Macaca mulatta: one gene and its partners. The protein of the gene in region 6 purifies or fractionates together with the protein of the main gene of each other region. This does not show direct contact. Links are inferred from orthologs where the notes say so. Each region holds a gene or a part of one and is shown on either strand. Other genes may lie near its edges.

Region 1 (3,956 bases), on a different chromosome or scaffold from region 6:
ACTTCTCCCAGGCTGGATCAAGGCAAATAAATGCAATCCTTCCCATCCCCCACCACCATGGCCACATTTGCTGTGTTTCAACAATAGACAGAAAGAAGACCCAGGGAAAGAGCAAGGAATGAGGAGAGCAGAGGGACCAAACCTCTGCCCTGGCTCTGTGGCAGCTCCCTTGTCTAGCCCAGGTCCTGGTCAGTTCCCACAGCCAAGGATCTGGCCCCACCCTTTGGTACAGTTCCCATTAGGTCAATTCCCAGGCCAGAAGTCTGGCTTTCCCCTCTTTCTCTGCAGTGAAGAATTCCTCCGTCTCTGCTTCCTGGTCTGTCTGCCTCACCCTGCTGCGCTGCTGGTGGGCTGTGTCCCAGGGATCCTGTCTAGGGGATATCTGGGGAAGGCGTCTTTCCAGGCTCAGAGTTGGAGAGTTGTACAGACTCTACGGGTGGGTGGCCCAGCTGGAGTTGGGCTTAGAGGCAGAGGGAGAAAACAGGAACTAGCCTCTAAGGCTGGAAAAGTCTTTGTCCATACAGAATTGGGATCACACTCCTGGTGCTACGACATTTCCATGCTGTTGGCCATTACCCAGGAGGGCTATAGCAGGGTCAGAAAGACGTTAGGGAAAAGTGGCTGACGCAGGACGGAAGTGGGGTGTGAGGCATCTCTAAGGGCGCTTCCTGGGTCTATGATTCTGTAGGTTCGGGAAGCCTGGCGGATGTCAGGGTCACCCAGAGGACTCCATTCCCCCATGTGGGATGAGGTGGCTCCTACACACCCCGATACTCCCCTCCGCGCCACCAATGCCGGTGGCCTTGGCAATCCGATTCTTTTTTGTTTTGGTTTGGCGGGAGCTCTCAGACCCGCCCAGCCCCACTTAGGCTCCTTTCTCCAATCTCAATTTAGGACATCTGGAAATTAGCTGGCTTTCCCGACTCCGATCTTTTGGATTCAGTGATGGGAAGGTAATTGGCAAAGCCTGGGGCTACCCTATAAGGGCAGGGCTCAGATACAATCCGAGAGCAGGACTAAAGCGGGAGGCCGGCCAAGGCGGAAGGGAGTAGGGAAAGAAGCGCCGCACGTTTCCGAGATGCGCAAGCGGGCTCGGCGAGAGAGCACGAAGTATTTGCCCCTCGCAGGAACGGCAATTTTCCCTTGCTCGCTCCTAGAAAAGCCAGCCAGGAGCTGTGGGAGGAACCGCCCTCAGTAAAGATGATGGCTGTCACCGTTATCTAAACGCAAGTGAAGCCGAGTCACAGGACCCGGATGTTGTCAGGTCGACGGTAAACGACCCTGCCAGCTTCCAAAAGGGCGGCTTCACTGTGCGAATAGGTGAGAAGCCAACAAGGAGGCGCGCTGGAGTCACTTCCGCCCGGTTCACCTTCCCGCAGTCTGCAGCCGGAGTAAGATGGCGGCGCTGAGGGCTGTTTGCGGCCTCCGGGGCGTCGCGGCCCAGGTCTTGCGGCCTGGGGCTGGAGTCCGACTGCCGATTCAGCCCAGCAGGTGAGATCGAGGGTAGCCCTCGACACACGTTCTCCAAGGGTTTCTCAGGTTGGGGACGCTTTACTCCCCCAGAAAAGAATAACCCAAGACTGTGACCCCATTGTCCATCCCTGACTTCTTGGGCTACAAGATGCGGTGGCGCCCACTCTGGCGAGGGAGGGGAGAGGGTCTAGAGTTCGTTCAGTCCAGAGGTGAAATCAGCGGAGTGGGAGACCCTGCTTTTTAGCTTCCGTAATTTGAATGCACCTCTCCTGTACCTGAGTAAAACTCAGCCAGAGCCAGAATGCGCGCTGTCTCTGTCGTTGACCTTGAATAAACACTTTTCTCACGTTCATGTTCACCTGGTTGATAATATCAATATGATGAAAATATAAAGAAGCTAGGATTCCAACCTTGCATGCCCAGGGGTGATGGGTGAAGTTATTCCAGGAATAATTTGTTAGTAGGAATTGAACCTTTAGAGTTCCAGCTTATTTTGCCGAAGCTACATTAACTTCAGATCAGTGACTTGGCATTTAAAAAATCCAGGACACTGGCCGGGCGCGGTGGCTCACGCCAGTAATCCCAGCACTTTGGGAGGCCTAGGCGGGCAGATCATCTGAGGTCGGGAGTTCGAGACCATCCTGACCAACATGGAGAAACCCCATCTCTACTAAAAATACAAAATTAGCCGGGCTTGGTGGCACATGCCTGTAATCTCAGCTACTTGAGAGGCTGAGGCAGGAGAATCGCCTCCTGAGGCAGGAGAATCGCTTGAACTCGAGAGGCGGAGGTTTCAGTGAGCTGAAATCGCGCCATTGCACTCCAGTCTGGGCAACAAGAGCGAAACTCCGTCTCAAAAACAAAACAAAACAAAAAAACAGGACATCCTTCCTGGGTCCCCTTGAGAGTAAATGGGAACACAGGAACCACACACTGTTCAGGCCCTTTGTCTAGGATTTGTCTTTAACTCCCCAGAGGTGTTCGGCAGTGGCAGCCAGATGTGGAATGGGCACAGCAGTTTGGGGGAGCTGTTATGTACCCAAGCAAAGAAACAGCCCACTGGAAGCCTCCACCTTGGAATGGTGAGTGATCAGAGTTGCTGTCCCAACCCACACCCATCCCTGACCCCAGCTGATTTCCTTTTCTTTTTGTGAGACAGGGTCTCCCTCTGTCTCCCTGGCTGGAGTGCAGTGGTGGGAAAGTGGCTCACTGTAGTCTTGAACTTCTGGGCTCAAGGCAACCTTCTGTCTCAGCCTCCCCAGAAAGCCGCAGCAACAGGCCTGTGCCACCACAACTGGCTAATTTTGAAAGTTTTCCTTTTGTAGAGACAGGGTCTTGCTGTGTTGACCAGGCTGGTTTCAAACTCCTGGCCTCAGGTAATCCTCCCAACTCAGCCTCCCAAAGTGCTGAGATACAGGCTTGAGCCACCATGCCTGGCCTCCAGCTGATTTCTAAGTGCTCTTGAACTCTCTGTCTTAGGCAAGTTTTAGCCCCTATCCTGTTTGTTTCTTTTTTTTTTTTTTTTTTTTTTTTTTTTTGAGACGGAGTCTCGCTCTGCCGCCCAGGCTGGAGTGCAGTGGCCGGATCTCAGCTCACTGCAAGCTCCGCCTCCCGGGTTCACGCCATTCTCCTGCCTCAGCCTCCCAAGTAGCTGGGACTACAGGCGCCCGCCACCGTGCCCGGCTAGTTTTTTGTATTTTTTAGTAGAGACGGGGTTTCACCGTGTTAGCCAGGATGGTCTCGATCTCCTGACCTCGTGATCCGCCCGTCTCGGCCTCCCAAAGTGCTGGGATTACAGGCTTGAGCCACCGCACCCAGCCCTGTTTGTTTCTTTCACGATGAAATTCAAGAGACATAATAGTGATAATAACAGGTATTTGTGAAGTAGAGAAGGAAAGGAAGGATGTTGCAGAAGAAAATAAAGAATGGGTCCCAGTAAATACCCAAAAGTCCTTATCAATGTAAATCTTAATGCCAGCTTTTCCCATGTTCAATACACGTAAGGTTCACTACATTATCTCCCTCTCCAGACAAGGTGGTGGTTTTCCCATTGGTACCCAAATGAAACCTATGTGAATACAAACCATTTTTTTCCTTTCAAAACTAGCTCTTCCTTTTGACTTTTGATTTTGATCATTGGGACCCTCATTCCCCTAATCCCTCAGGATTGAAACTTTTTAGTCATCTTTGGCTGTTTTATCTTGCCCTCCATATCTATGTCCAGTAAGTTACCAAACTATGTAGATTCTTTCATAATGTCTCATATCTGTTCATCTCTCCTTCTTAATTTTCGTTGCCATCATTCTTATTCAGAGTTATCTTGTATTAGACCCTGATTATTTTAGGAGTCTATTTACTGAGTTTTTGCCACTGATGTTGTCCCCTTTCTATATATCCTATACAATGTCATCACCTTCATCTTCCCCAAACATTATTTTACCATGTTATTCATACTCTTGCTCAAAAACCTTCAGACACTTGCA
Region 2 (4,061 bases), on a different chromosome or scaffold from region 6:
ACCTGAGGTCTCAGCCGGTAAGAGGTAAACCACCATGTGAGCCTAACAATCTAACTCTATAATCCATGCCCTTGACCACTATTCTAGATTGCCAATTCCTCCTTCAAAACATAATTCGTTGTTTTTTTTTTTTCTTGTTTTGAAATAGGGTTTCACTCTGTCATCCAGGCTGGGGTGCAGTGGTGAAATCATGGCTGACTGCAGCCTCAAACTCCTGGGCTCAAGGGATCCTCCCACCTCAGCCTCCTAAGTAGATGTGCTTACAGGCGTGCCACAGCGACTGGATAATTTTTTTTTAAATTTTTTTGTAGAGACAGTGTCTTGTTTTGCTGCCCAGGCTCCTCTCAAACTCCTGGCCTCAAGCGATCTTCCCACCTTAGCCTCCCAAAGTGCTGGCATTACAGGCGTGAGCCAACATGCCTGGTCAACTTTTTTGTTTGTTTTTTTAAAGACTGGGGTCTTGCTTTGTTGCCCAGGCTGGCCTCCAACTCCCAAGCTCAAGCAATCCTCCTGCCTCAGCCTCCTGAGTAGCATGGACTACAGGTACATGCCGTCATGCCCAGCTCGAAACATGATTAACCTTTGATTATTTCAACAATGAATGTTGTATGCTGTTCCTAGTGACACTTTCCCTTCCAGCTACATTACTTAGGCCAGAGATAAGGCAACAGAAATAAGATCTCAACTCTCAAATTAGGAATGGAATCTGTCACTGGAAGTGCAGTTGGACTGAGCCCTGATTCCATCTCCAGGCAAGATGCTCAGCATCAGACTGCACGGCAGTGGTTCTACCCTTGCTGGTTAATTTATAGAGTTCAATTGTCTATGTTAATGAAACCCTTTGTGGGTAAGGATAATCAAGAACAGACTGTATCTTGTATGGATCTGACTTATAAGAGAATTTTTTTATAGTTCCATTACTTAAAATATATAAAATAATGAGTTAAAAAATGAAAGAAACAGTCCTCTTTTTTCCAAGCAGTGGTCAGAACGTCAATATTCCTGGTTACCCTACATTAGAGTATGCTTCTAAAGCTGTGTGCATAACATGGAATTCTTTAGAGTAGCCATTACTGCATTTTCCAAAGGGAAATTTGCAAGAATTGGATACATCAGAATTTAATCAGAAACTAAAGTCATGTCTTTTCCCAGAACATGCCCCAGACGTGGTTTTTAATTTTTTTGTTGTTGTTGTTGTTTTGGTTTTTTAACAAATATGGTTTTTAACTGACCTATAAGACAGTCCATTTAAATATATAAATTTTTAATAGCCTTCCACGGGCCATTTCCTAAATCCCACTTCAATCTTTTCTGCCGTTAATTCTGTTAGTGTCTGCCGAGTGGAAAGAAATGGGTGAGGGTGAAAGGATTTGGTGATGGGCAAGAATAGGGGAGAAAATAGTGAAAAACAGAAACAAGTCCCATTCCCCCTGCAATGAACTTGTAATCTCAAAGTAGAACCAGTGCTGACAATAATAATGACAATTACACTCTTTCAGTCATAGCTATTTAACCATAAAGTAGTACAATCAAGAAAAGTAAGATGATGCAATACAATAAATACTTCCCTTCAAGTTCTAGTGCATTCGCATGGACTTGCTTAAATTTAGATTCCATTTAATAAGGGAAAACGAAAATTTCCATTTGAGCACAGAACCACTAATTTTGTGCCAAAAACAAAGGCAAAAAGACGGGACACCAGGATCGTTGCTGGTTCAAAGTCAAAAGGCAAAATGGAAGTAATAATGAGACAAGCTGAGGCCGACTAACACGCAAGAAGAGTTCATCCAACAGAAAAAAAAAAGTTTAGAAACTTTCAAGCACTTCTGGTAAACGTCTCACGAAAGTTCTGCCCATGTATCAGTTCCTCTAAAGAGTTACATTCCATCAATCACTACAGATGGCTTTGAGTCCCCAAGGCCTCGATGCATTATTGTTCTAAGGAGAAGCCGCAAGGCTCCTGAGCCGAGTATCCTGCAGGCAATGGACACTCAGGACCCTGTGCTTCTTGTCCAAGGCTTTCTGGTTGGCCTCTCCCACGAATGGAGTTCAGATGCAGTGCACGCCCAGAAGAAAATACTTCCCAACTGTTGCATCGCGTGAGACCAAAACTGAAAGTCAGACGACCACCGGAGTACTCCAGTTCTCAACCGGTGAAGAACTCTCCCACAGACACCATTTTTGTATTTTTATTTTTCATTTTTTTGCGTCTGATGGACGCTCGCAACGACCCTCTGCCTCTGAGCCTCACAAGAGGGAACTGCACCTGTCACTTCGTTCAGGACCCTAGACCCACCCGCCCGACACGTGTCAAGTTAAAGCCAAGACCCCTCGCCCGCAACCCCAAAATCCTGTCACCATTCTGCAGACGCTCCGCGGTGGCGGGGGGCAGGGAGGGCGTCTCCTCACGCCGGGACTCGGCCCCCGGCGAGGACGCGTCCCGCCGAGCAGCCTTGGCGCCAGCCCTACGCACACGGGGCGCCCTTCCCGCGTGAGGCGGCGGCGGCTCTGCTCGCTCACCTGACCAGAGGCAGGTCCTCCGGACCGCTGTCCTGCTCTGGGTCCTCCTCAGGAGGGGGTGGCGGCGGCGGTGCCGGGGGTTCCGCGGCAGCGGCGGCGGCGGCGGCGGCCGTTTTTCGGGGGGTTTTGGGCGGCATGACGCCTTACCGAGGCGGGAGCCAGCGAGCTGTGGAGGAGAGCCGGGGAGGGCGCAGCGCGCGCACGTCGGGGCACGCCCCGTCCTCTCCTGACTCCCGTTACAAAAATAATTTCAACGTCCCCTGAGAAAAACCGGACGCGCAGTCCCCCGCCCGGCAACTGAGCGCCGCGTCCAACCGCGGGAAAACGTCACTTCCGCCCGCGGCGTCACGTCCGCGAGGCTCCCGGGCCCGCCGGCGTTTGTGGGGAACTGGGGCGCTGGTCGGTGCGCGGGCTGGGACGCTAGATGGGAAGGGATAAACTGGGAAACCTGGCGTGGGTCCAGGAGCCTTCCCAGAAGCATCCGGCGCAGCCCGGACGTGTTTCTACCCGGAACCACCCCCTCCAAGCCGAGCTGCCCTTAACTGGGCTATACAAAGAGTCTGGCGGGTGACTGTGGGCCGTATCCCTATCCCGGGGTCTGATAGGGAAGACGCTCGGGCCCCGCAGGTAGTATCTGGCTAGTGCACCCTCGGCGGGCGCGCCGCTCTCCTTCTCTGGGCGGCGCCCGCCCTCTCATCCCGCTTAATCCGTTTTGCAAACTCGGCCAAAACAAAAAGAAACTTGGAGCGCTAGTAGATGCTGAACTTTACCAGTCACTAGAAGATACAAAATGTTAGACAGTTGCTGGCCTTTTGGGGGATCACTGGTTAGGGAAAGGAAGGGAGGGAGCTGTGGGGAATGAACGGATAGTAGTGTAATAAAAGATGATAGTGGTGTAAAAACGGCAAGCACCGTGGAAAAGTCTAAGGAAGATTTTCAGGGGAGCAGTAGCTGTTGAATAGAAGTTTGTCAGGCAGGCCTGACATTTACTGTGTACCAGGAACTGTGCTGGCCACCTTACATAATTATCTTATTTAATCCCCAGGAAGAGCCTTTTTTTTTTTTTTTTTTTTAACTTTAAGTTCCAGGATACAGATGCAGAACGTGTAGGTTTGTTACATAGACATACGTATGCCATGGAGGTTTGCTGCACCTATCAACCCGTCATCTAGGTGTTAAGCCCCGCATGCATGTAGCTAAGAAACAGCCCTTTCAAATGGGTAGTATTAGCTAGTCTAGCTTGCAGATGAGGAAACAGGCTCAGAGGAGGTAATTAATTTGTCCAATACCAGGGCAGATGGGTAGCAGAGGATTTGAACTCAACTCTGTTTGATTCCACTTGTCCATTACATTATGTTGATGAAGAAAACAGTGACAGAGAAGGAGCATGTGCAAAGGCACAAAGACATCAGAAAAGAGCTTGCTGGGACTACCACCATCAAACATTGGCTTAAAGCTGTATCACTTCTATGTCTTGGTATTTATATCAATAGATTATCTAGTTTGAGTACGTGTTTTCTTCTCTTTGGCAGACACTGTTA
Region 3 (3,982 bases), on a different chromosome or scaffold from region 6:
AAATACAATTGAGTCCCATCATCATCATGGAAATGGCTTTAAGAGAAAACTGGTCAGATGAATATTATTGCTTCCCATTTTCAACCAGTAAATAGTTGCCACTGAGAAACTGACAGCCAGGAGTCTGTCAAGAATGTTCAAGATATGTTATATAATACAACATGCCTGTTCACAGGGGGAAAAATCCTAGGAAATAACTTATGTGTACTTCTTGATTTCATCATACAAGACAAGCACAAAAGCACCACCCATGCCCCTGAGAACATTGGACCATGCACCCTTGAAAAAAGCTTTGCCTCCTTCATCACGAGCTATCTTCCTCCAGCAGTCAAGCGTGCCTGTGTACATGATGTCAGCTGCAAAGAATAAAGACAGAGTTGGTGACTGAAGGCCGATGAAAAATCCTAAGATTCACTAGGCTAAATAAAGCAGAGCCCTACCTCTAAGAACATCAGCTTTAAACCCAACATTCACACATTAGCATGGGCAACACTGAAATATTAATGCTGTGACCACAGGAATACACAGACTACCCACTGGTCTTAATCTCTAATACCAGTTAAGCACCCTCATTCATAGGCATCTGAAGGGCCGGATCAAAGGCAGCTGTGGAATAGACACAGATGCTATCAACCCCATCCCTTGACTTGGACAGCCAGCCATTTCTAAAGGTGGGCATCACTAGTTTGTGGCCGCAGCTTGCCCCACGCCTACAATTTTATCTTCTGCTCAAGGGGAACTTACTTCCTTTGCGCCCTGACTGCATCATCATGCGGCGGCGAACAGTATCAAATGGATAGGAAGTCAACCCAGCAACAGCAGTGACAGTCTGTGCGATCATCCAGCTGATGACGATGTGAGTGTTTTTGGGATCCGGAAGCATTCCTGGGAATAGGAAAGAGATGCTTTTACCAAAAAGTAGAGTTTTACTGACTTCCTTTCCCCACATCCCCTAAACATGTCATCTGTGCATGAGGGTCGCACTGGATGATCTTGGCTTCCTTCAGCAATTAAAAAAACTCTCTAGCTCTTGGAATGTTAGGTTGGTACAACGCTCTTTTAAATTGTCTCCTAAGAACACAACTTTAAAGCCCACAGCAAACTTACCCTTTGCAGTGTCATAGATACCGAAGTAGGCGGCTCGGTAGATGATAATACCCTGCACAGACACGTTAAAGCCTTGGTACAGGCCCTTAATCCCATCAGATTTGTAGATCTTAACCAGGCAGTCACCGAGGCCTCGGAATTCCCTTTCAGCTCCAGCTTTACCCACATCAGCTGCTAGACGGGTACGGGCAAAATCAAGAGGGTACACAAAACACAGGGATGTGGCCCCTGCGGCACCACCTGATGCCAGATTCCCTGCAAAGTAGCGCCAAAACTGGGTCCTCTTGTCCACACCACCTAGGAAGATCTGCTTGTATTTATCTTTGAAGGCGAAGTTAAGAGCCTGGGTGGGGAAGTATCTGATGACATTGGCCAGGTTACCGCGCCAGAAGGACAGAACTCCCTGCTCCTTGGGAATACGGACCACGCAGTCTATAATGCCTTTGTATTGCTTATCTGCAGTGATCTGCTTGCTGGCATGCTGCACCTAACAGACAGGAAGAAGCCAACAGGGACAGTTATAACCATGCGGAAGGGAAAGAGAAGGGCATATGCCATATGGATCAATACCCTTTAAGGCTGGCTCCCCTCTCCCAAATCTAGTCTTCGTATATCATACTGGCTGGAGCCTCCCAACCATATGAGGCTGTCACAGGGGAAGAGGTGATCGGCACCAGAGGTATTAAGCCTCCACCCCTCTGAGTGGGGAGGGGGCATCCTCCAGCGGACTCGTGACCTTTAAACCTGAGATAAAGGTCATTACCTCAAACCCAGGTTCAGAGGCATTAGGGCGAGTCCCACATAGGGCGCGGTCACCTTGGGGACCGCAGCCTACGCCTCCGGTCTCCTGAGCTGCTTCCGTCTCGCTCCGCCCCCACTCCGCTTCCAGAGGTGACCCGAGCGCCGCCGCCGGCACCCCTACACGCTCGCCCAGGGGCGCCCTCTAGAGCCAGCACTGGAGAGCGCGCGGCGCAGGGAGGCAGGCGGAGGGGACACGGCGGCCGCGGCTGCGCGGAGGCGGACGTAAAAGGAACACGCGCTTCCCGGCGCCGGCTTCCGGCCCGGCGAGGTTTGAGCGCGTCCGCGGGCTGGGAGGCCGCCGGACCCGGGCGCATGGCCTTCCCCGGGCAGTTATCTCCTTGCCGCGACCTTGAGGTCTTCGTTAAGAACTGGCGTTCCTCTTTCTAACGCCGGCTTTCGGCCTTCGCCCTTGACGCCCAGGCCCGGGGAGGCCGTCACTCAGGGACTGCTCCATCCGAGTCGGCCGCCTCGGGGATGCCGAGAGCCTGGTCCTGCTCTCCGCCCCTGGCCCCTTTCTAGACTCACAACTTCAGGTCACTAAAGGCGCCTCCCACCAGTTTGCCTTCTGCTCTGCCTCTGCGCCCGGCTCTGGCCTCTCCTAGCCGCTTCCCTGGCCATGTCTTTGGAGTTCGCTCCCCGCCACCCCTCGGGCGCCCGCCTTCTGTGCGACCCTCCCCCCCACTTCCTGGTTGGGCTCCTGGATCCCAGGACGTACCTGCAGCAGCAGCTTGACCCGCTCGATAGGCGCTACCGCCGTCTTGGAGATGGCTGCGGCCACTCCACCTGCCAGGAAGTCCTTGGCGAAGGACACAGCGGCATCTGTCATGTTGAAAGGAAAGAGGCGGCAGGCTGCTGCGGGACGGGACTGGGCCGGGAACCGGCTTTGACTCCGGCGCTGCGGGGCGGAGCGAAGCAAATGGCCGATTTATATAGGGGGAGCCGGCGCCGGAGCGGCAGGCGTCGGAGGCGGGGCCGGGGCGGGGTCTGGGCCCCGGCGCGCTGGGCGGCAGAGCAGCTGAGTGGCCCAGCGCGCAGGGGGAGGAGTCGTGGAGGGCTGGCCGGGACCGCTCTCCGCGCCGCCCGGGCTCGCCCTCGGCACCTGACCCGGCAGGAGGAAGGGGCGGGTCCAGAGGACACCCGGGACTTGAACGCTGAACCCTGACAGAGGCCTCGGAGTGGGTAGGAACGGTGAGGTCACGGTGTGCCTGGACAAAAACCCTTGGAGCAGAACTAGGGTGAGACGCATTTGTTACAGGGATGCCAAAAGAACCCTTCAGTCATCGAGATAAACGATACTTTAAAAAAGTCGTATGGGCAAACATCCTGCTGGCCGGCCCCCTTGTTTTGTAAATAAAGTTTAATTGAAGTGTCAAGGCTGAATTCAGGGTGAGGCAAGCGAGACAAAGTCATGCAAGTGCAGGTTGGGATCCTGTCTGTATTTCAAATGCTGATCATTTGTTCATCATGAATTTTTGCATTGCTTTTGATTTTTTTTTAAATAGTGCATTAAAAATCATTTGTCTTAATTACTGAGTTGTGTTTCACCAAGGTGAGTGCCTCACTCTTCCCACCCTAGGCCGGGCACTGTCCTGGAGCCAGTGAAACCAGACGAAATTAAGGGAACAACAGACGAAGGAACTGCCACCGTGCCCCAGACCCTGGTTTGCAAATACAGTTCAACAAAGACCTTGCCAGGAATTGGCTTGGGAGAGTCCAAAGGACTGGGCTGGGGGTGGGGAAATGATTTTAGCCAGAAGGTAAATATAGAGGTTGTACCCAGAAGGTTAAGAGGCTTAGGAAGGTTAAGAACTACGTTGACATTTGGCTTCCAGGACCCCAGGTAAAGTGCCCTTGGATCGAATAGATTTCTGAACTCCAGAAACATTTAGAGGAATCAGTAGAATTAGATTGGCAGCCATTGCGCCAATGGACAAGTGCTTACTGAGCCCCTTAATCCCTTCACTGGGTAAGCATTTGCCACACATGTCCTCAAAAACCTACTTGTTCGCTTAAGTGGACTCCCTCAGGTTCAGAACAGGAGCAGAGAGTGTAATCACAAATTCCGTGTCTGAAT
Region 4 (4,088 bases), on a different chromosome or scaffold from region 6:
ATATTCTCAAGAAACTTGAATATACTCTCCTTACAAGTCTAAATTCTCTTTCCCACCTCCAAATGTCTAATAACTTCCCTACGTAGTAAGTATTAATCACTTTCAACTGGCTGAAGAAACAAACCAAATAGTCTATTAGTAGAGTCTAACACAGATGTGGAAGTGTTAAACTTACTACATAGGTCTTTTATAAACAAATGATAAATTTTCCTATCACAAGAATTATAGCACTCTGAACTAACCAATTCACAACACTGTTCAGTGGAATTCCTAAGGACATACCTCTGACACACACGCCCCCAAAAAATCTGAAAACACTATCCCTGAGAATCTTTCCATCACCCTTCATCCTAAAAATTTGTTATCATAAGTCTCTGAAATAAAAATCTAGAATACTCTTTTCTTAAAAGTCCCTTAAGTTAGAATTTGAATTCTGGAAAGGTCTAAACCTTCACTTTACTAGTGAGCACACGGTATCCTATTACTTAAGCAAGTTGCCTAATTTCATCTAAGATACTGAAATCTTTAAGATACTAAAGAAATTATTTCAACGCTAGAAAAATGGTTTATAATATTTTCTGACAATGTGTTACTGTTTATTATTAATCCCACTAACAATTCATTTAGTCAACAAATAATTACTGAGCTCCGTCCCCATGTGTCAGGCTCTAGGGAAGTGACAGTGAAGAAACAGGCCTGGTCCCTTTCATCTTAGAAGAGACAAAATTTTAAAAACACAATTGGGTAAGTGCTTCAATAGTATGAGAACAGAATATATAATCGAAGGATTACAGGTGTGTTTTGTTGCTTGATTTTGTTGTTTGGGTTTTTTCTTTTTCAATTTTGGTGGGAGATGAGGAAAGGGAATTGGGCAGTAGAGTGTTCAACTAAGGCTTTTTTGTACTAGGTGAGCTTTGTGGGGAATTGATAAAATGATAAAGTTTAATGGGGGCAAGAGTGAGGCAAGGAGGGAAGAACACTCCCAGTGGAAGGACTAGCATGTGCCAGCTTTAAGAAGCAGCATAGCAATTTTGGGCATTCAACAAAGGCCAGCATAGGCAGCTCACAGAGAGAGAGGGAGAATGGCTCGAAATAAAGGTGGAGACACGGACAACGTCCAGATCACAGAGGAGGGACATAATCATATTAGTACTAGCTAATAATAACACCTCCTTTTATATAGTACTTAACAGTTTACGAAACACTTAAAAATGTTTCTCTTTTATTCCTACAAATTTGTGTAGTAATTATTTATTCCAAATCAATTACATCAATCCTCTTTAGAATGACCACAGGGTAAGGTCCAAGTTACTCAGTTAAATCACCTTGTCTGTTGGTAGCATACAGCTACTCGCCCCTCAGGATTTTACAAATGCTACTATCATCTAGGAAAGCTATAATGAACATACCTTCATAATAGCACTTTCTAAAAATTATGTAATATTTAAAACAGTTTTTTAAAAGCATTAAAAATAACAGCCATTTATCTACCATCCAGCTTACGGAAGATACCCTGACACAAGCCTTTCAAAACTGTGTTTATAGGTTTGTTTTCTCCATTAGATTGTGAATTCCTTGGAAGTATGGACTGTGTGTTGATAGATCCAAGATTTTGCACTAAGAAATCAACACTGTTGTTTAATATAATGGAATCCCTCAATTCAGGTATAAATACTGAGATTCACAACGTGCTAGAGGCCGCAAAGCCAACAAATCATTTAATTCAGTTCAAGTATAAAGGAATTTTGCTTTATTTGTAACGGATTTACAACTTTATAATACCTGATACATTTATTCACGATAAAACAGAAAATGTAACTTTCACGTTTTCAGGTCATTATTAAAACATCCCAAGAAGGCATTCGTTGAACAAACTAGCTACTGAAGTCTCCTGTATTATGCTAAATGCTGGAAATATGAATTCCAATTACACAAATTCCACGCCTTAATGAAACTCAAGTTTCTTAAGCACACAGAATTGATCCAAGGTTTGGCTGTTCCCAGATTCAAAGAATATATCCCACTCTAGATCAACTAAGGATAGGGAAAAGTGACCATCACACGTAAGCACGTACGTAGACCAGAGTTAATCAGTTATTTTTCCCTTCAGAAAAAAATCTACTAGTAGGGAGTAAGAAGTTGTGTTGTGTGTGTAAACGTGTTTTGAGATGGAGAGGGACAGAGACTAGACTAAAAGGAAAAGAAACTGGAAATCCAGGTTTAAGGAGAAAACCAAATGTAGAGTGGCATATGAGAATCACATTTGTTCACGCAACTTCTACACAGCTTTTCTGCAAAGAGCTGTAATCCTCACATAGCACTTAGTAAAGGGCCTTAGAGGCCCTGTGTTTCTTGGCTCCAAAGAAGCTTCAGTAACCACCTATTCCGCCTCTTCCGCACCGCCCAGCAACCACGCTTAGAGTGTGACAACCCTAGCCTCAAGTCCCTCCCGCCCGCCTCATAAATAAAAGCGGCCCTGGGCCGCTGGACTGGCGCGGAGGAGGGCAGGTCAACGGATGAGCAGACACCGTGGGAAACGCCGCGGAGTACGCGCCCGGGCCAAGGAAGGGGTCAGCCTCAGCCTCCACCTCAGCTTGGCCCGTCCACTGAGGGCTCTGGTACCAAAAAGAGACCGGCGAATCCAGCTCTCCGAAGGCAGCGGGTACTCCCGAACGGCTTCCCAGCGCTTTTAGTCTTTCCGCACCCGTCCCCACCCGAAGTTACCTTCCCAAGTGACATCGTAAAGCTCTGAGACCTTCGCCATCTTCCCAGAACCTAGAAGCAGCGGGGTGAGAGGGCGGGGAGACGCAGTCACGTGACGCTCCACCGGGCGGTGGAGAGTTACGTTGCTTTTTCTCATTGGCCAAGAGAGCTGTGGGGGCGGTATCTGCCACACACGTGCACGCGGCTCTGCGGAGGGGCTTTCGGGGAAGGGGGCGGAACAAGATGGGCGGAGCGAACTGGACAGTGGGCGGAGCGAGGTGGGCGGTGCGCGGTGCTCCCGGAATCTGAGAATACTCTGGCTGCTGGCAGGGCGACGGTGCTGGCTCGGCTTGAGGGGTAGGGGTATGTGTGTGTGAGTGTTTTGTTGTGTGTGTATGTGCGTGTGTGTTTTGTTTTTGTTTGTGTTTTTTGCCGTGGATTTTTAACAAATGCTGGGTTTTTAGTGTCCGCCAATCCAGGCTTTTCAGTTTTTTTCTACGTAGGCGTGTTCATTCTCTTCACACTCCTTTAAGTACCCTTATTCTCTTCTTGGCCGGCCGCAGTGTAGCCTTCTGCACGAATTCCTTATTTGTCCCCAACTTTCCTCCTTCCCTAATGGGATTTGCTTTCTGTTCACTTTTTAATCGACTAAACGGATAAACTCCAAAGTTTTGAGGGAGTAAGTGGGATTCTTCCTTTGAGCTTTGAAGTTCCCTTGAATGCCCTCGTGCTCGCTTGTACCCTTCTTTAACGCTCCTCGTGCCTGTAATTGCTTCATCCATGTCTGCATGCCACACTAGGTTTGAAACTGTCGCGAGTATGTAAGAATGAGACCTTCACAGTTCCTGAACTTCTCTCCTCATTACTCCTGGGTGTATGGGGCAGCCTCCTTTCCCACCAGACTAATTGCTTTTAGGAAACTTTGAACGTCATCTCCTAGACTTAAGGAGAAGTGTTTGGACAGGAGGCAAAAAATTTGAGGATGATAAGCATATATTTAGTATTTGAAGCAAGGGGGACATGAGATTGTAGAGGAGGAATATGTAAGCTGAGGAAAAACTAAAAATCACTGCAATGCAGCCATGAGTTATGGGTCAATGAAGAAGGGGCATTTGATTTGAGAAGTAGAAATAATCGTATCCCACAAGTCAAAAGAGTGGAGGGGTTTTTTTCTCAGCTTTTTTGAGGTATAATGGACAGAAATTGTGCATATTTAAGGTATACAAAGTAATGATTAGATGTAAATGTACATTGTGAAATGATTACCACAAGCAAGCTAATTAACACATCCGTCACCGTACATATTTCCCGTACGTGTGTGTGTGGTGAGAACACTTAAAAATCTCTCAGCAAACTTCAAAGTGTACAATACAGAATTATCACTA
Region 5 (4,203 bases), on a different chromosome or scaffold from region 6:
GTGACTCTCAGAATACCAGCACAGGTATCTACCAAAAAAAGGTATCTCAAGAACTTCCATATTTGCAGGACTGAGTGGAGATGTTTCATTCTTAGATTCCATCTCTACAAAGAATGAAGGGATGTCTAGGGCCAAGGCATTCTGAAGACCTTTATGGTATCTAAGTGTTGATGACGGTGGTGGGGTCTCAGTTCGGTCCCTGGCACAGGTGCTCTGTGCTGGGTCCTCAGAGAGCTCTAACCTGAGCCACCATGCTGGTGACATCGCCGGGATTGGAGGGCAGTAGGATAGTGTTGGAGTCCTTGGCCAGTTTGGAGAACGCGCTGACATACTGCTCGGCCACAGTCAGTGAAGCTGCTGCATCTCCATTCTGTGACCACAGGGGGATAAAAATCAGAGATTATAGATACGGAGAAGAAGGGGTGGATGGGGAATGAAGAAAGCAGTTCACAATAAAAAGGACTATGTAATCTGGTTCAACAGAGCCCACAGAGGCAGGAACTCTCCTTAAGCATAGATAAGAGAACCCCTTCCACTGTCAATTCCTGTCCCCCATTCCCACCCAGGGGCCTCTCACATGTTGTGTCAGAGCTGCAGCCAGGATTCGAATAGCTTCAGCTTTAGCCTTGGCCTTGGCTAGAACTGCACTGGCCTCTCCTGCAAGAGAAGGGACAGAGCTTGCTTGACCCATGAAGTCAAAGTACCCAAAGATTCTGCCCCAGCACCAATCTTCAAAGGCCCATGCCTTGCTCCTCCCTCAGCCTCTACCCTCTCCTGACCTGCTGCCTGATTTATCTGTTCAGCCTTTTCTGCTTCGGAGGCCAGGATCTGGGCCTGTTTCTTCCCCTCTGCCACATTGATGGCCGACTCTCGGGTCCCCTCAGACTCTAGAACTGTGGCCCGTTTCCGCCGCTCTGCCTCCACCTGGAAGCCCGCAACAATCCCAATCAACAAGCCAAGGGAAAGTTATACAGACCTGCAACTCTACCCATCATAACAGGAGGGAAGTCTGGATCCTCCTGGGACTGGAGCACCCTGAGGTCCTTTTCCTACCCCTCCTTGGCTCCCACCTGCATCTGCATAGACTCTTTCACCCGGGGTGGCACATGGATATCCTTGATCTCATAACGGAGGCAGCGGATACCCCAGCAGTCAGCAGCTTGGTTGATAGCATCCACAATGCTGGCATTCAGGGACTCCCGTTCCTGGAAAAAGAGAGGCATAAGCCCCACAGCTTCAACTTACCTATCAAGGGCCTACACTGAGAAGGGCCTGGGACTGATCTTGACCTTCAGAAAAGATTGAGTGTCAGGTTTGTGTCTTCAAACCCTAACTCTGGCTCAGATCTGCTTACCCGGAAGACTTTGTCCAGAGAGAGTTTGCCGAGCTCTGATCTCATGGTTGTTTGAGCTAGCTGGGTGACGGCATACTCAGGGTCCTCCACACCATAGCTTGCCTGAAACGGACACGGATAGTGTAAGAAGCTTGGGCACAAGATTTTAGTGAAGAGGGCAACTGAAAAGGCTAGATAAAGTAGGGGGCAGATACCTTGTAAGGGTCCATGATGCGCAGGTAAAGGACTCCATCAATTTGCAGAGTTACATTGTCTGTAGAACCAGGAGAGAAAAGGAGGAAAGTCAGGCCTCTAGGTCCCAACCAGTTCTCTCTCCTAAGCTGTGGATCTACAGCAACCACATCCTAATAGCCTCAGAGCACCCATGTCACCCTGAACCCCTCACCGAGAGTCACAGCCGACTGCTCAGGCACGTTGATGACAATTTCCTTGAGACTCTGCACATATCGGATCCGGTCTAACACAGGGATGAGGATGTTCAAACCCTGGGAAGAGGAGTCATGGGTCCTCAGAAGGATGGGAACTATTGGGTTGAGACCTAAGCTAGTCCTGGAGTATGTATGGAGTCAACACATGGAACATGCCCAGAAAAGCAGCAGCTGCTACCAAGAAATAAGTCCTCATAAGGCTGAAGTGTCACTGGTAAGAAAACCCAAGAGAATAGGAATGCAAGACTAGGCCCCTGAATGGAAGGGAGAGTCATGAGAATCGGAGCTGGCAGAATAGCCATCTCAATGCAGACTGAGAGGTAGGGCTGAGAGAGTGGGCAGAGGAGATTCCCAAGAATGGGGACTGTGAGATGCATAGGAAAAGGTGGTAACATGGGGATGATGGTCAGCAGCCTCAGCCCTGTCAGGTCTGGCCTACAGAGTCGGGAGCTAACAGTGCGGGCAGGCCCAAAAGAGGTCCTCCCGACACTCCATGTCGTGAGGGATTGGTCATCTGGCTGGCCCAGGATGGGCAGAAGAGGTTCTCACAGGCTCCAGGATCCGGTGGAATCGGCCCATTCGCTCCACCACCCAGGCCTCCTGCTGCGGCACGAACAGTACCACGGTGTTTCGGGGCAATCCAGAGGAGGCGCGGCGCGGAGCGCGACCAGAAGCCTGCAGGGAGCCCTGAAAGAAAGAAGAGGGTGAGCAGAGATCCCATCTGGCCAAACACGCCGCCCCTCGGTCCTGAAGGTATCTCCATAAACCACGACCCTCAGGATCCTCGGAGAGAGAATCACATGGGGACCATGACCTCTGACCCCAGTCCTCTCCGAAAGTTGGAAGTTCGCTCTTTCCCAGCGGAGGACCCAGGTGATCTCTGTCCCGACCCTCTGGATAGGTTGCCTCGCTCTCACCCTCAGCAAAAGGGCCCCAGTGCCCCGCGCCGCGCGCGCCAGCATTTCCCACCGCCGCAGCGACCTCCGGAACCAACGAGACGAGCGGAGCGGTAGCTCCCAGAAGCCTACCCGAGCCTTTCCTCTTGCAGTTCCGCTCCCCCGAATGTACTTCCGGCCGTTCCCTACTCCCTTCAACACTCACCCAATCAGCGTTACTTGGTCGAACGGCGCATCAAGTTGTTCCCTGGGAAACGCAGACCTTCAAGAGAAGGCCGAAGGCTGCCGTTGTTCTGGGTTTAGCTGTTCGCGACCAAGATCCCCGGCCTGATGGCCAAATTATTTTTCGCGTGCATATCACTCAGACACCACGCACTGAATTCTTCACCCTCACCCGAGACTCAGTTTGCCCACCAGAGCGTAGAATCGCGCCCATCCGTCACCATAGCGACGAGTGGATTGAGCTGACTCGTTGCCATGGTTGCCATAGTGACATTCTATAGTAGTCCCGCGGTGTTGTGCCCAGGACTCCCACTGGGGACTGACCCCAATCCCGTTGCCATGGAAACTGGGCCTAACATTGCCTGGCGATTGGGACGAGATTTTCCCCTCCCCTCTTTCCTCAAAGACACTACAGCTCCTTCCCTCTCTTTCCAAGCAAGGTTTGTTATGCCCGGTCTTAAATACCGAGTCCGGCAAACAGCCTCAACGTTCAACCTTGTCTGGAGCACGTCACCTTGCACACATCCCTGATGTTCTGGTAGTCAAGAGACCTCCGTAGTCACCTCCATTTTACATATGAGGGCACTGAAGTTCTGAAGGGCTAAAGTCATTAACAGAACCAGTATCAGAATCCTGATCTACAATTCAGAATTCAGCTTCTAGGACTCAACTTTACCCACCAACCCCTCTGAAAGGAGCAAGACCAGGCCCCAGGAATCAGCAGGGACTAGCCTAAGACCTCATGGGCCCAGGCCTGTTGCCTCCTCTCTGGTAGAAAGGGCTGAGTCCCAGCTCCAGGAAGGCCCTCTATCCCCCTTCGCACCCTCTCCCCAACAACAACAACAACAAAAGTAGAGCTTAGTTCAAGTTTCCAAACAAGAATTTATTCTTTCTTTTTTAATCTTTTTTTTTTCTAAAAAAAAGTACCAGGTACAATTTTTTCCTGTTTCTGATTTGCTTTGTTTTTTCAAGTTTCAGCAAATGCTTGTTCCCCTCAGCCCAGCCTCAGGAGTCAGGACTGAGGCTGGGTCAGAGTCTGGAGTGGGGAATGGGGTAGTTTGGAACCACATGACTGAGTTTGAGGGGTGCCCCTCACCCCAGCTGAGGTAGGTGGGTCAGAGTCTGGCCAGGTGAGTGGAGGCACCCCAGTGCTTGGCCCTGACTCTGCCCCCTGGACACCTTCTTCAGTCAGGACCCCAAAGCAAGGAGACACAGGCAGGAGGAGAGGGACAACTGGAGTCTGGAGCCCTAGGTGAGGGGTGGTTAACCCCTGTGTGTGTGCATACATGTACACTCTCTCACA
Region 6 (3,500 bases):
AAGAATGAAAGTTTCATTTGATAGACTAATTAGAGATCTGAAGTGATTTTACCTTTATTTCCTTCACTTTAAGCCAATCATGAAATTTCACAGTGATTTCTGGGGTGGGGATAGAAGGAAGGCGGTGTTAAGAATCATCGGGGCTGTGGCCCAGTCAGCCCGCGGAGGTGCAGGCAGGGTGGGCCCTCACTGGGGCAGCTGGAGGAGCACAGACTGCCCCGCTGGCAGGTAGGTGATGTTCCGAGAACGTGAGAGCTGGTATGCGATGTCCTCCGCGGCTTCCAGCTTGCGCAGCTCGATCAGGCCATCCCCTGCAGTGGCCAGTGAGTTGGCAATCAGCTCAGCCGCCTTGGAGTCACCCTCAGCAGAGATGATGGCTGCCTTTTTTTGCTGCTCAGCCTAAAAGAATGGAGGTGGAGACAGACTAAGACCAAACCTCAGGGCACCGCATGTCAGGCTACAACCAAAGGCCCTTCACCAGAAAGCCACCTTCCCAGGCTCCTGTAGGAACTTGGGGAGTTTACCTCCTCCTGATGGTGGGGGGAGGCAGAGCACACAGCCCACCAGTCCTCCCCTTCCCTTTCATGCTCACTCGTCACGGGAGAGATACATTTCTGTTGGTTGCATGAATATTTGTCTTATTTCAAAGTCCTCATTAATATTAATTGCAATCTAGCTTAACAACTCTACTCTGAGCCAGGAGGATCCAAGGCCAAGGAAAACAGAAGCAAAAGAAAAATGGAATCAACCCTCAAGGCTCATCTTTCCTTCCAGCCCCAAGTCTAAAGGACTTCATCAAAGCCAGGACAGGGCCAGGTGTGGTGGCTCATGCCTGTAATCCTGGCACTTTGGGAGGCGGAGGCAGGAGGATCACTTGAGCCAGGAGGTCAAGGCTGCAGTGAGCTATGATCATGCCATTGCATTCCAGCCTGGGCCACAGAGGGAGCCGCTGTCACGAACAAAAAACCTCAGGATGGCTAAGGAAGAGCAGCATGCACTTGTGACTGTTCCTAGAGCTGCCTGTGGGCTAGGCTGATTCCTGACCAGAATCCAGGCACCCACAGTGAGACCTCCTAGGCCTGCCCTACCAATATTAAGAGGAAGACAGTTCTCTGAAATGTGTGACCTTCAGGAGTGTGAGGAAGAGGACAGTATTAAGCCTCCCTGAAATTACATACAATTTTGAAATGGCTGGGCCCTGCGTCTATTTGCTTAACAAACATTTACTGTATACCTACTATCGCCAGGCACTATACTAGACTTGTTATAATCTCTGAAGTTATGGAAGATACAAAGCAACGCAAGTCCCTGCCCACACAGTGTTTTCATTCTCCAAAATTAAATCTATTCCTCTTTTCCCATTTTATTTCTTGCTGCCCCCATCTCCCCACCAATTAGGGATACTGGTGGTGGGAAGAGGGGGACAACAATAAACATGTCTTTGCAAATACCAGAAAGAACAGGCTGCTACGCAAATACACTGCGTCCCATCGCATTCTTTGACACATCTGGATGGATTTAGCACTAGAAAAAAATCCAGTGACGAAAGCACATCTGGTGCAACGTTTGATCTTTTTTGCTGTCAGCTTTCACTATGTAAGTATGGTTAAAAATGACTTCTCAGTGAAGCTGAAAATACTCCAGGAGAAACATTTTCATTTGTAAGAGAGTGTTTTTGATCTCAGAGAAGTGGAAGAAAAATTACCCTTCGGTGATTTTGGAACATAACTCCACATATCCTTGACTAGCCCCCGAAGACTCTGGAACCAATTGCAGAAGTACAATTCCTTCAAGCCCCTTCCGATTATCCCGGAAGAAGGGATGACAGATGATGAATTTCCAGGCCACCCAGCAAATGGGGAAGCTAAGTGCAGGAGAAAGGGGAGAGAGGCTCCTGCCATCTGGTTGAATGCTCACCTTTTCCACCACAAATCTGGCCCTCTCTGCTTCCTGCTGAGCCACCTGTTTGGCTTCCACCGCTTCTGTGAACTCCTTCCCGAAGGTCAGATGTGTCTAAGGGGAGAGAGTGAGCACAAGATGAGGCAGTGTGATTGCTTAGACAGCACTGCTGGGACGCCTCCACGGCCGCTGGAAGGAAGAGGCCAGCAATGGCTCTAGCAGCTGGAGGCATCTGTGAGGCCAGAACACTCTTCCATCTCTGTATCTGTATCCAAACTGAGTTTACACCCAGCATCTCTGGCTGCCCAACTGCTCCTGTACACTACTCTGTCACTCTCAGTGCAGCGAGTGACCTCATGTAGCAAATGGCGCCTGGGGCTTTTGATGGGGCCCATGGGCACCAGAAGGTATCTATTCAATCGACCACCTCCCCAGAGGAGAACTGTGGGTTCTAAGACCCCCGCCACTGACTAGTGCTCTTCCAAGCGCCTTTGATGCCTTGTTCAAAGCCCAAGGAAGGCCAGATGCAAAACGGGGCCCCTGAGAGTGAGGGAGGCTGCTGGTTCCCAAGGATCCAAGAGCCTGATGCTCTCTGCTTATGGATTAACCAGTCCACTTCTTCCCACAGCAGCTCCACCACTGAACAGGAAGAGGACGAGGGGTGGTAGAACGCAAATCATGCTATTCCCAATGTGAATGGTTCTGTTAAAGGGTTTAAAAGAAAGAGAAAGCAGGTAAAGTCATTGGTCGGGCTGAGGGTTTAGAAGTCTGATGATCCATAGACCTTCCCTAATCATGTCAGGTCTGACGTGACTGTTCCTAACCATAGCACAAACAATGGGAAGGGACCTCAGCATTCCTAATGCCCAGCCTAGAGCAATTTACTTATTCATCCTACTTTTTACTGAAAAAGAATCAAGAGGAGAGCATTGGTTTTGCCATCAGATTCTAGTTGTTTCACTTCCTCCGCTCTCCCAGCCTCTGCTTTTAAAAAAGCAGCCCCGAACTGCTCCTGACGAGTAAATCCTGGTCTCATTCTCTCCCAGAATGTTTAAGCTCCGAACTCTAACTGCAGCTGTCGTACTTCGCCTGATCCATTTCTAGTCTCTCAGTCAAAGTTTGGGTAAGAAAATCTGATCCTGAGAAATGAAAAATGAAATGTATAATTAAGGAATAAAATTTATTTCTAAAAGGGCCAGCTGAGGGCAGCGAATTCCCCATGAAACCTAATTTTCTTCTCACACCTCTTAGACAGGGTTTCCTGTGGTCAGCCCACATTTCCCCAGAATGGAGTATGTGGTTAAAGTCTAGTAAAATGCCAACTTTTCCCTTAGGTTTTTACGCAGCGTTTTCTCACAGCCAAGGTGTTCAGGTTCACGGTAATTACCAGGGGAGGGCCTGCAGAACGGCTGCAGCCTGGCCTCTTGCCAGCAGAGGGAGCCCCAAGCCCCCGGGGGTTCCAGCAGGCGGAGCAAGGTGGAGCAGTGCCCCGGGGTTAACACTGGCTGTTGTCCAGTGGCTGTTTAAACAGCTGCACAGATGCTGGGGGAAGCGGTGCCTTTCCCTAGCGATGCACGGGAGAACTGAACAGGAAGCACTTT
Region 7 (2,618 bases), on a different chromosome or scaffold from region 6:
ATTTTTTTTTTTTTTTTAACATTGATGGTTTTGGTTCTTTAGGAAGAGTCCTGAAAGTAGGAAAGTTTACATGTGTGTAACTAAGTCATGAATTTAAACTTGATACCCTGCACTTTAAGGCTGCTGTGTGTCACCTCTAGTGAGCCTGATTTGTACCACATTTGGTCTGGTTTTGTTGTGCTAGACTAGAATCGACAAAGATGATTTTTATGAGAGTGCTTAGGCTCTTGTGCTGTACGGACAGTTTGGGGTCTTTGGATACATTCCAGTGGCTATCAGGAGTATCGTGTCCTACTGACAATTTGATTTTTGAGTTGAATGGATATGAATTAAGTAGTACCTGATTTCTGTTTGGCTTAATACATAATGAATTTTATTGTCTCGTGAATAAAACTGAACACTTCACGACTACATGATGGGGAAACATGTAGGGGGCTTTGTCCCTACTGAAATATTTTTCTTACAGTTGTTTTTGAATTTTATTTTAGGCAAAAGTCAACAACTCTAGCTTAATTGGAGTAGGCTACACTCAGACTCTGAGGCCTGGTAAGTATTCTTGATAAAGTAGGATTGTTTTGATATTAAAAAAATTAGTTTTCATTCTTCAGCTTATTTTTCAGACCTTTCAAGCACACAGAAGAGTTGAAAGAAGAGTACAATAAATACATGTTTACCTTTTGCCACAACTCTCTTTCTTTCCTTCCTTTCTTTTTGTTTCTTTTCCTTTCTTTCTTTCCCTCCCTCCGTTCCTTCCTTCCTTTCTCTTTCTTTCTCTCTCTCTCTCTCTAAAATAAAAGTAATTTTTATTTTGTTGATAAAAGTTCACTCATTGCTTTGGTTCTGTCTATAGTCTTGTTGACTTTATATAATATTTTGAAGCATGCTGTGTCTAGAGCAGCATTTCTCCAACTTCACAATGCACATGACTCATCTTGGAGTCTGGTTAAAGTACTGGGGACTTTCCCCCCTCCAAATAGGGATTTTCCTTCCCAAAGTTTATTTTGGCGATTTTGAAACCTAAAGAAAAGTTGGAAGAATGGTACAGTGAACATCATATACCCTTACCCTATGTTGACCAGTTATTAAAATTTACAGCATTTATGTCTCTGAAACTTCACATACTTTTTTTAAAAAACTGTATGTTTTGCAGACATACAGACACGGCAGCTCCTAGCATGTGTATCCTAAGAGTAAGACATTTTTCTTTATAAGCACAATACCATTATCGCATCTAAGAAAACTAACATTAATGTAATACCAAATATATATTCAGATTTACCCCGTCCCCAAATGTGTCTTTATTGTAGGTTTCCCTTTCTAGGATCTAATTATGATTATGTCTCTAGTCTCTCTTCATCTGGATAGTATACTCAACATTATTGTATATTCTAGAGCACTTTGAACTTGTTATTAAAACATTTCTCTGTGACTTGGTGCCTTACCTAGAATGGTAACCCAGTCCTTCTGGTGTCTCAGATACTTCCAAGCGCCCTCTGGTGGCCAGCACTAGTAGGTCAGCTGACAGGCTGAGGAAGTGACAGGCAGGCTTCTGGGGATGACTGTGAAAGAAGGCTCAGACTGAGTGAAGTGCCAGGTACATCACAGTGTTTTGTTTTTGTGTTTGTCTTAATAGGTGTGAAGCTTACACTCTCTGCTCTGGTAGACGGAAAGAGCATTAATGCTGGAGGTCACAAGCTTGGGCTCGCCCTGGAGTTGGAGGCTTAATCCAGCTGAAAGATACCTTTGGGAATGGATATCAGAAGATTTGGCCTTAATATATTTCCATTGTGACCAGCAGCAGGCTTTTTTTCCCCCAAGAAGATGATCAAAACAAAGAATGATCTCAACAAGAGCTGTATTTTAAGTATTTAGACAGTTCCTTGTTAGCTGGTTTCTAGTTGAATTGGTTATCTAGTTACCAATGCTGCAGTCCTGCAGTCACCTATACATTATTTAAATGTATTTAACTGTTAAATGCGCTACCCACCAATAATGAAATAGACCTTTATGAAAACTGTGCAATTGTGTGCATGTTTGTTTTTATGTTCCTTTAGAAAACATTGACTATTACCATTGAATGAGATGGATCAGTGGATATTGAGATGAGGTTAAAAATTTTGTTAAGTTCAGCCATTATTACTTTTGGTATCCCAGAACATGACAAATTATGAATAAAACAAGTATACATAATTAATGGCTCCAAGTATTTGCAGAGTTCCATGTTTGCCAGCTAGGGTCAAATCTCCGTGGTAGCTAGCCAGTATTTAATTTTTCCAGTGAGTATTTTGCTCTTTACTTAAATCTGTGCCACAGAATCTTCTGTGTCCCTAGAATAATTCCACGAGCTTTTTAAGACTACAGTAAGAGGATACATGCTTTTATACTCTTCAGTTTGTAAGTCTGTGCAGAATTGCCCTGCATAACTGAAAGGAAAAAGAAGGTGCTGAAAAGATACACAAACACACCATACCCCTGTGAGCTACTGCTAGGAAAATAAAGTAGGCCCTGGTTTGGTGCGATGGTGTTAGGCGTACAGAAGAGTAAGTTGTAGACAGTAAGGGTAACCTGTGGGACTCTGAGAGATCATTACTCATTTCCTTCTAGGCAGACATTGAAAG

Evidence for each region.
Region 1: the proteins of PHB1 (region 6) and NDUFS2 purify together in Homo sapiens (affinity purification with mass spectrometry; 3 studies listed by BioGRID and IntAct, with this or other methods). This does not show direct contact. The link is inferred for Macaca mulatta from reciprocal best matches to the Homo sapiens genes PHB1 and NDUFS2.
Region 2: the proteins of PHB1 (region 6) and RB1 purify together in Homo sapiens (affinity purification with western blotting; 3 studies listed by BioGRID). This does not show direct contact. The link is inferred for Macaca mulatta from reciprocal best matches to the Homo sapiens genes PHB1 and RB1.
Region 3: the proteins of PHB1 (region 6) and SLC25A5 purify together in Homo sapiens (affinity purification with mass spectrometry; 3 studies listed by BioGRID and IntAct, with this or other methods). This does not show direct contact. The link is inferred for Macaca mulatta from reciprocal best matches to the Homo sapiens genes PHB1 and SLC25A5.
Region 4: the proteins of PHB1 (region 6) and EMC2 purify together in Homo sapiens (affinity purification with mass spectrometry; 3 studies listed by BioGRID and IntAct, with this or other methods). This does not show direct contact. The link is inferred for Macaca mulatta from reciprocal best matches to the Homo sapiens genes PHB1 and EMC2.
Region 5: the proteins of PHB1 (region 6) and STOML2 purify together in Homo sapiens (affinity purification with western blotting; 3 studies listed by BioGRID, with this or other methods). This does not show direct contact. The link is inferred for Macaca mulatta from reciprocal best matches to the Homo sapiens genes PHB1 and STOML2.
Region 7: the proteins of PHB1 (region 6) and VDAC2 purify together in Homo sapiens (affinity purification with mass spectrometry; 4 studies listed by BioGRID, with this or other methods). This does not show direct contact. The link is inferred for Macaca mulatta from reciprocal best matches to the Homo sapiens genes PHB1 and VDAC2.

What each region holds. Positions count from the first base shown.
Region 1 is NC_133406.1:105,680,624-105,684,579, reverse strand, and holds the start of NDUFS2 (NADH dehydrogenase [ubiquinone] iron-sulfur protein 2, mitochondrial), read left to right. Parts: upstream 1-1,156; 5' UTR 1,157-1,396; coding exon 1,397-1,491; intron 1,492-2,448; coding exon 2,449-2,555; intron 2,556-3,956. UniProt on the Homo sapiens protein: Core subunit of the mitochondrial membrane respiratory chain NADH dehydrogenase (Complex I) which catalyzes electron transfer from NADH through the respiratory chain, using ubiquinone as an electron acceptor. Essential for the catalytic activity of complex I.
Region 2 is NC_133422.1:27,492,411-27,496,471, reverse strand, and holds the start of RB1 (retinoblastoma-associated protein), read right to left. Parts: upstream 2,801-4,061; 5' UTR 2,658-2,800; coding exon 2,521-2,657; intron 1-2,520. UniProt on the Homo sapiens protein: Tumor suppressor that is a key regulator of the G1/S transition of the cell cycle. The hypophosphorylated form binds transcription regulators of the E2F family, preventing transcription of E2F-responsive genes.
Region 3 is NC_133426.1:125,937,805-125,941,786, reverse strand, and holds the start of SLC25A5 (ADP/ATP translocase 2), read right to left. Parts: upstream 2,801-3,982; 5' UTR 2,735-2,800; coding exon 2,624-2,734; intron 1,595-2,623; coding exon 1,108-1,594; intron 886-1,107; coding exon 745-885; intron 357-744; coding exon 199-356; 3' UTR 1-198.
Region 4 is NC_133413.1:118,698,778-118,702,865, reverse strand, and holds the start of EMC2 (ER membrane protein complex subunit 2), read right to left. Parts: upstream 2,801-4,088; 5' UTR 2,765-2,800; coding exon 2,725-2,764; intron 1-2,724. UniProt on the Homo sapiens protein: Part of the endoplasmic reticulum membrane protein complex (EMC) that enables the energy-independent insertion into endoplasmic reticulum membranes of newly synthesized membrane proteins.
Region 5 is NC_133420.1:64,622,061-64,626,263, reverse strand, and holds the start of STOML2 (stomatin-like protein 2, mitochondrial), read right to left. Parts: upstream 2,801-4,203; 5' UTR 2,745-2,800; coding exon 2,700-2,744; intron 2,470-2,699; coding exon 2,332-2,469; intron 1,840-2,331; coding exon 1,740-1,839; intron 1,608-1,739; coding exon 1,549-1,607; intron 1,457-1,548; coding exon 1,355-1,456; intron 1,206-1,354; coding exon 1,071-1,205; intron 925-1,070; coding exon 780-924; intron 658-779; coding exon 578-657; intron 371-577; coding exon 242-370; intron 1-241. UniProt on the Homo sapiens protein: Mitochondrial protein that probably regulates the biogenesis and the activity of mitochondria.
Region 6 is NC_133421.1:60,600,427-60,603,926, reverse strand, and holds part of PHB1 (prohibitin 1), read right to left. Parts: intron 2,014-3,500; coding exon 1,918-2,013; intron 400-1,917; coding exon 187-399; 3' UTR 1-186.
Region 7 is NC_133414.1:74,375,339-74,377,956, reverse strand, and holds the end of VDAC2 (non-selective voltage-gated ion channel VDAC2), read left to right. Parts: intron 1-350; exon of another isoform or gene 351-488; coding exon 489-546; exon of another isoform or gene 547-1,514; coding exon of another isoform or gene 1,515-1,559; intron 1,560-1,633; coding exon 1,634-1,725; 3' UTR 1,726-2,118; downstream 2,119-2,618. UniProt on the Homo sapiens protein: Non-selective voltage-gated ion channel that mediates the transport of anions and cations through the mitochondrion outer membrane and plasma membrane.